Linked DNA regions of Coturnix japonica. The protein of the gene in region 1 interacts with the protein of each later gene in a biochemical or structural test. Links are inferred from orthologs where the notes say so. Each region holds a gene or a part of one and is shown in the gene's direction. Other genes may lie near its edges.

Region 1 (3,623 bases):
GTACCACCCAGAGGTGAAACTAAAAACAGCTGATCTTGAGGATGTCGTAGATGAAGAACCTGGAAATGATGATGGTTAGTGTCATCTGCTTTTCTTGACCTCGAATCTACTGTTTCAGAAGGGAAAGTAATTGCAGCTTATTCACTAAAACATTTTATGTTAAAATTCTTTTTTAACTTAGGTGGTTTGGAGCAGAGTTGTTAAGGTCCAACTCCTTTCTCGTTTCTATTGCTTTCTTATAAACTGGTTCAGTGTTGATAGAAGTGTTATTCTTTTGTGTGTGTGTGTTGGGTTGGTTTGATTTTTTTTGCTCTACTCAAGCTATAAATATTCCTACCTCTATGGTGAATCCAGATTTGATGTTGATTGAGTTAAGGATCTGTAGTGCTTGCTTTCAGAACAGTTTGTAGATCTTAGGCATAGCATCCTTATCTCTCCTTGTTTCCTCAGTTAAACTATCCTGAACCAATTCCCATTGCTTTTGTTTTTTCTTTTTTCCAACTATCCCATTAGTTCCCTTTCTTGCCCTTAACTTAGATTTTAAAGTCTCTGTGTGTTCTGGTGATACTCAGTGTTTCCTTGTGTGCTGTGATGGAAGTCGAGTACTTGCTGAAGAGTTAATTTGTGAGTGTTTGCTTTGAAGATGGTATGTTCATGTATGATCTAATATGCTGTTCATGAAAATTTTTCAGGTGAAGCAGAAGATCAGGATGAAAAAGAAGACACAGAGAAAGAAAACACTGAAAAAGATGATGATGTTGAGCAGGAACTTGTCAGCAATGACCCTACAGACCCTAAGTGGATAGAATCTCCTAAGACAAATGGCCATATTGTGAATGGCCCATTTCTGTTGGAACAACAGATCGAAGATGAAGATGACGAAGAGGAAGAATGTCCAAATCCAGAGGAATATAATCTTGATGAGCCAAATGCAAAAAGTGATTACTCTTATAGCAGCTCTTATGAACAGTTTAATGGTGAATTGCCAAATGGACGTCACAAAATTCCCGAGTCGCAGTTCTCTGAATTTTCAGCTTCTGTGTTCTCTGGGGCTCTGGAGTCTGTAGCTTGTGGTTCTGCTGTTTCTGAAGGATCAACTGTAACAGAAAGAGAGGAGAGCAGCCCATCTCATGACAGGAGCAGAACAGTTTCAGCCTCAAGCACTGGGGATTTGCCAAAAAGTAAGTACTACTCTTGCCTGGCACATGCCATCCATGCCTGAAGAGTCTCAGAGTTGTAGGTGATGTCTTATTATAGAATGAGAGCTGGAATTAAACCTTATGTATGTGTTTTATCTTTGTTCAGTGATGTCTGTGTAGAAGTTGTTTTTTTTTTTCACTTGAAAATTCAGTACCAAATCTGTTGAGTAGGCCATCACATACTTTTTTCAGTAGCATAAAAGCATATTTCAGTAACAGAGGAGGACTCTATTACACCATTTCCTTTACTTTGATTGAGCAGTAGAACCAGAACTTAATGATGTTACCTTTTCTTCACATTCAGCTGAAGTTTTAACTCCCTGCTCGGCTCTAAAGGGTGCCCACTGTAAAGATGGTGCCCACGTGCCAGCCTCTGAACTCTGCTCCTCTGCAGTGTGCAGACTGCTCCCATGTCCTTGCTTTCCTTGGCACTGCCCAGGCTTGGGCATAAAGTGGGATATGAGGTCAGACTAGTCATAGCTAGGACTGGGTTGCAGCTGCAGCCCGCTACTGAGAACCATTTTTTTCATTGCTCACTGATTTAATCTTCATGGCTTTGCCTGCAGTGAACATTTTGCTTATTGAATATTACGTCATCTGAATGCAAAACCTCATGATTATTTAAAATTTACTGTTTCATCTTAGAAGAGTTTTAGGAAAAAAATAAAAAAAGTAAGGCTGGTATCAAGGAGTGGAGACTTTTCAGGTATTTTGGTCCCAAACCATTCTGGTTATCTTTGACCTCCTATAACCAAGTTTCAAGGAAAAGCAAATGTGTTATTTTTTGATGGGGGCCTGATCCGGGTCTATAAATATCTGAGGTGTGGGGGGCACAGTGGAGAGGCCAGACTGTTTTCAGCAGTGTGTGGAGACAGGACAAGGGGAAATGGCCAGAAACTGGAGCATAGGAAGTTCTGCACAAATGTGTGCAAGAACTTCTTTACAGTGAGGGTGACGGAGCACTGGAACAGGCTGCCCAGGGAGGTGGTGGAGTCTCCTTCTCTGGAGATATTCAAGACCTGCCTGGACGCCGAGCTGTGTGATGTGGTGTAGGGAGCCTGCTTTGGCAGGGGGGTTGGACTCGATGATCTCTGGAGGTCCCTTCCAACCCCTACAATTCTGTGATTCTGTGGAAGAATTGTAGCAGTGTCCTTAAAGGCGGTGGCTCTGCTAAGCATGCTCTAAGTAAATTGGATGCTTATTCATACTTTCCAACGTGAGAGTTTGATCAATGCAACTTGGAACACAAAACGAAAGCAGTCTTGTTCTGTTACAGTAAATCTACCATCCCAAATTTTAAGAGGAAAGCAAAATTGTGATTTTTTTTCTGATTTAGAACTTGTTCTAAAGTGTATTAAATAAGTTACTGTTGTAAAGTATTTGCATTAGCAGGTCATCTACACAGGAAAGAGAGAAGGAAGGTGATATATGCAAGTACGCGTTATTCACATAACTTAAGGCCAGAGGTGGTGTAAGATTGTTTAACTTGGCTTCCTTTTAACAGCAGGATTTTTGCTATTGAAGTGTTTCACACAGTTTATTATAGAATCTACAAAAGGTAATCTGCAAATATTCAAGGAATATGCAATAAAATACAATTGAGTAGAGAGAGCCCTCCCCTCGCCCACTGGCAGTGCTGTGTACAACTGGCTGTTGCTCAGCTTGCCATCACCAGAACCCCCTCTTCCATTTCACTGCTGGCAATATAGAGGCAGAAGGCCTCTCCTGCTGTTTTCCTGGGGTGGTGTGTAGAATCCTCATGCATCCAGAGCATAAAGCTGGTGTTGTCAGCAAGAGATCAGCTTATCTCCACAGCTGGAGAAACAAGCCTACTTCGTTCCTCTTTGATGTTACCTCATCAGGAGCAATATACAGTTCTTGTGTGCAAAGAAAGTAAAATGACCGTAAATTCAGCCATAGCTCACCGCTTCCTCAGAAGGAGAAAAAGCTGAATGTTGTTCATCTGAATGGCACAATTTAAACAGTGATAAGACAAATTCAACTACATTAGAATGAAGGACGGTATGGCAGTTGCAGGCCATTCAATATTTCAACTGGTGCTGCTTTTTCACTGTATCTTTAGTGCTCATTTCATGTATGGATGCAGACTTTGTTTGCGTGTCTCTCCATGTAGCCATTGCTATACGTTCTTATGTAACATGTTCTCAACTAATGCTGATCTGCATTCAGTGGATGAGCAACTATTTTTTGTCAAGTTTTTACCTTTATTTAATTCTTTGTTGAGTGTATAACTGTGCGACCAGACGCTCTCAGGGACAGATTTATTAATTTCGTCATGACTTTCCTCCTCATTCCAGTGTCTGAATGTTTACTAAGTATATTGTCATGGTGTGACTGTGAGAAGAGGAGGTGATATTTCTCAGTTTTACAAAACTGGGACACACAGAAGTGAAAATTAGAAAT
Region 2 (4,309 bases), on another chromosome or scaffold:
CCCAGACACCCCCCAGGTAATGAACCTAAATACCCCCCAGGTAATTAATAAACCCCCAGACCCCCCAGGTAATGAACCTAAATACCCCCCAGGTAATTAATAAACCCCAAAACCCCCCAGGTAATTAATGAACCCAAACATCCCCCCAGGTAATGAACGCTAAATACCCCCAGGTATTATGAACGCCCAAAACCCCCCCGGTAAATTAATGAACCCAAATATCCCCATATAATGAACCCAAACACCCCTCAGGTAATTAATGAACCCAAATATCCCCCAGGTAAATTAATGAACCCAAACATCCCCCAGGTAATGAACCTAAATACCCCCCAGGTAATTAATGAACCCAAATATCCCCCATATAATGAACCCAAACACCCCCCAGGTAATTAATGAACCCAAATATCCCCCATATAATGAACCCAAACACCCCCCAGGTAATTAATGAACCCCCAAACCCCCCAGGTAATTAATGAACCCAAATATCCCCCATGTAATTAATGAACCCAATCACCCCCCATATAATGAACCCAAACACCCCCCCCATAATGAACCCCCAAACCCTCCAGGTAATTAATTAACCCAAACACCCCCCATGTAATTAATGAACCCAATCACCCCCCAGGTAATTAATGAACACCAACACCCCTCCATGTAATTAAGGAACCCAAACACCCCCAGGTAATTAACCCAAATACCCCCAGGTAATTAACGAACCCAATCACCCCCCATGTAATTAAGGAACCCAATCACCCCCCAGGTAATTAACGAACCCAATCACCCCCACGTAATTAATGAACCCAATCAGCCCCCATATAATGAACCCAAACACCCTCCATGTAATTAATGAACCCCAACACCCACCAGGAGACCAATCAAAATCAAAGCGCGCTTGACTGACAGCCATATTAGCCAATCCGCAAGCTCCTACCCGCATCCAATCGGGTGCTTAGGGAGATTTTCTCGTCCAATGGTAAACGAAGAGCGGAGCGTGGGCAGCATCCCGCGCTTCTGCAGGAGTGGCATTGGCTTCAACCAATCAGAACAAGGCAGACCAGGTTGGCAGTGACCAATGGGAAAAGGGGGCGGGTAAAGCGCTGCTCGCGAGAATTTGAGCGGGACAACGGGAACCCGCGGACCAATGGGGAGCAGGGGCGAGATAACTGGCAGGTGAAAGGACCAATTGGAAGGAGGAGAGAGTTTCGCCCAATGACCAATGGGAAAAAGGCAGAGCCGCTCCTAGTGACAGGAGAGCTGGACCAATCAGAAGGCCGCGCCCTTTCTAACTATCCAATGAGACAGCGGGGCGGGGCGGATGGGGGGCGGCTCTTCCCGGCGCGCGAGGCCGGCCCATAGACAGACATCTCCCTCAGCCAATAGGAACGAGGATCGGCGGGGCGGTGGGGCGGGATTTCCGCCCGGCGGGAGAGAGAGGGTGGGGTGAGGCTGCGAGCGGCCAATGGGCGCCGAGGGGGCGGGGTCGGCGGCGGCCGCGGCTTCCAAGATGGCGGCGGATGCGTGAGCGCGGCGGTCGGTCCGTCGGTGAGGCCGCCGGGGCGCAGGGCCGGGCGGGAGGCGGCCCCGCCGGGCACCGCCATGAAAGGCAAGGAGCGCTCCCCCGCCAAAGCCAAGCGGTCTCGGGGCGGAGGGGGCGGCGAGGACTCGGCCTCATCCTCCTCCTCAACGCGAGAGCGGAGCAGCAAGAAGCCCAGCGGCTCCGGCGGCGGCTCCAACGGCGGCAAAGCGGCGGCGGCGGCTTCGAACGATAACAACAGCGGGAGGCGGGGCCCGCACCAGGACAAGGCCGCACGGACCGAGAGCGGGGCGGCCACGGGCACGGGAGGGCGGCACGGGTACGGCGGGAAGAGCACGGAGCCGTCACGGAGCAGCAGCAGCCGCGGGGGTGAGTCCCGGACGGTTGCGGCCCAGTCGTCGTCGTCTGACAGCGGGGAGTACAAGACACTGAAGATCAGCGAGCTGGGCTCGGCTCTGAGCGACGAGGCGGTGGAGGACGGGCTGTTCCATGAGTTCAAACGATTCGGAGATGTGAGTGTTAAAATCAGTCGCCTCCCGCCCGGTACCGGCGCTGCGGATGAACGTGTGGCTTTCGTTAACTTCCGACGGCCTGAAGATGCACGAGCCGCTAAACACGCCCGTGGTCGCCTCGTGCTGTACGACCGGCCGCTGAAGATCGAGGCCGTCTACGTGGGGAGCGGCGGAGGGAGCAGCAGGAGGAGGAGCAGCCGTTCGCCGGCGCTGCTGGACAAGGAGTCACCCTACGGCACGGCAGCCGTGGGGCTGGCGGCGGCGGCGGCAGCTGTACGGCATCCCGCAGCTGGGGCGACGCAGCGGGCTTTGTCCCCCGCCGGCAGCGGAGGGGCGTTGGGTTACCGGGACTACCGGCTGCAGCAGCTCGCTTTGGGCCGCTTGCCGCCCCCTCCCCCTTTGCCCAGGGAGTTGGAGAGGGAGAGGGACTATGGGGGTTTTTATGAGGCGCGAGTGCGGCCGGCCTATGGGCTGGAAAGGGTGGCCAGCGTGGCGGCTGCTGGGGGATTCCGTGGAGGAGGAGGGGGTGCTGGAGCTGCCAGTGAGGAGGAGATCAGCCCTGAGGATGACCAGAGAGCCAACCGCACGTTGTTCCTGGGCAACCTGGACATCACCGTGAGCGAGACAGATTTACGTCGAGCTTTTGATCGTTTTGGGGTCATTACTGAGGTGGACATCAAAAGGCCGGGGCGCGGGCAGACTAGCACTTATGGGTTTCTTAAGTTTGAGAATCTGGACATGGCGCATCGAGCCAAGCTGGCCATGTCGGGAAAGGTGCTCCTGCGTAACCCTATCAAGATTGGGTATGGTAAAGCCACTCCAACTACCAGGCTCTGGGTGGGTGGCCTCGGGCCTTGGGTGCCCCTTGCCGCCTTGGCCAGGGAGTTTGACCGTTTTGGCACCATTCGTACCATTGATTACCGCAAAGGTGATTCATGGGCCTACATCCAGTATGAGAGCCTGGACGCGGCGCAGGCGGCCTGCACCCACATGCGTGGCTTTCCATTGGGTGGGCCGGATCGCCGCCTCCGCGTTGACTTTGCGGATACCGAGCATCGGTACCAGCAGCCCTACCTGCAGCCCCTGCCTTTGCCCCCTCCTGCTCATTATGAGCTCGTGGCGGAGGCGGCTGCTTTTGGGGCTCACCGGGGGGCCCCACCCGATCCTCTGCGGGGTGCCCGGGACAGGACGCCACCGTTGCTCTATAGAGACCGTGATAGAGACCTTTATCCCGAGACAGAGTGGGTGCCACCCCCACCCCCTGTACGGGACAGGAGTAACCGAGCAGCTGCCTACGACCCACTGGAAAGCCTAGAACGCCGTCGGGATGGTTGGTCCTTAGAGCGGGACCGAGGGGAGCGGGAGTTGGGCAGTAGTAGGGATCAGCCTAGGAAACGGAGGCTGGCTGAGGACGGAGGCCGGCACTTGGATCGCTCTCCGGACAGCGAGCGCTCTTCTTCCTCTCGGAAGCGTCACTGCTTGACCACGACCACACCACCAGACCGCAGCCCTGAGCTCGTCGGGGGGAGGGAGCGTTACAGCAGCGACCCGGAGCGTTCATCGTCTCGCTTGCTCCTCTTGGAGCGGCCCTCTCCCATCCGGGAGTCACGGAGGGGCAGCTTGGAGAGGGGTCAGAACGAAAAGCGTGACCGAAAGAATTCCGCTGAAAGGGAGCGGAAACATCGCACTTCTGCTGCTGCTGCACAGGAGTGCAAAAGCCCGGCCAAAAAGGATGAACGTGCTGCAGAGGGAGGCGGTGGAGGCTCCCGCCTCAAACCTCCACCTCAGAAACAGCAGCAGGACGGAGCATCGCAGGCCGGGGGAGCCCCCAAGCTGTGCTTGGCGTGGCAGGGGATGCTTCTGCTGAAGAACAGCAATTTCCCGTCCAATATGCACCTGCTTCAGGGGGACCTCGGAGTTGCCAGCAGTCTCCTTGTGGAAGGAGCGACTGGTGGGAAAGTAGCTCAGCTCAAGATCACCCAACGTCTTCGTCTGGACCAGCCCAAGTTGGATGAGGTGAACCGCCGCATCAAGGTGGCGGGTCCCAATGGTTACGCCATCCTTTTGGCTGTGCCCGGCACATCAGACAACCGCTCCACAGCCGGGGCTGGCGAGGCCACCACCTCCACCCAGAGGCCGCTCAGGAATCTGGTCTCTTATCTAAAGCAAAAGCAGGCTGCTGGGGTGATCAGCCTCCCTGTGGGGGGCAACAAAGACAAGGAGAACAGCGGGGTCCTGCACGCCTTTCCGCCCTGCGACTTCT

What was found. The genes of interacting proteins can lie anywhere in the genome.
Region 2: of the proteins of SRPK2 (region 1) and RBM15, one has a biochemical effect on the other in vitro, tested with the Homo sapiens proteins (2 studies listed by BioGRID and IntAct). The link is inferred for Coturnix japonica from reciprocal best matches to the Homo sapiens genes SRPK2 and RBM15.

Annotation. Positions count from the first base shown.
Region 1 is NC_029516.1:12,447,519-12,451,141, reverse strand, and holds part of SRPK2 (SRSF protein kinase 2), read left to right. Parts: coding exon 1-74; intron 75-692; coding exon 693-1,181; intron 1,182-3,623. UniProt on the Homo sapiens protein: Serine/arginine-rich protein-specific kinase which specifically phosphorylates its substrates at serine residues located in regions rich in arginine/serine dipeptides, known as RS domains and is involved in the phosphorylation of SR splicing factors and the regulation of splicing.
Region 2 is NC_029541.1:1,765,512-1,769,820, forward strand, and holds the start of RBM15 (RNA-binding protein 15), read left to right. Parts: upstream 1-1,463; 5' UTR 1,464-1,596; coding exon 1,597-4,309. UniProt on the Homo sapiens protein: RNA-binding protein that acts as a key regulator of N6-methyladenosine (m6A) methylation of RNAs, thereby regulating different processes, such as hematopoietic cell homeostasis, alternative splicing of mRNAs and X chromosome inactivation mediated by Xist RNA.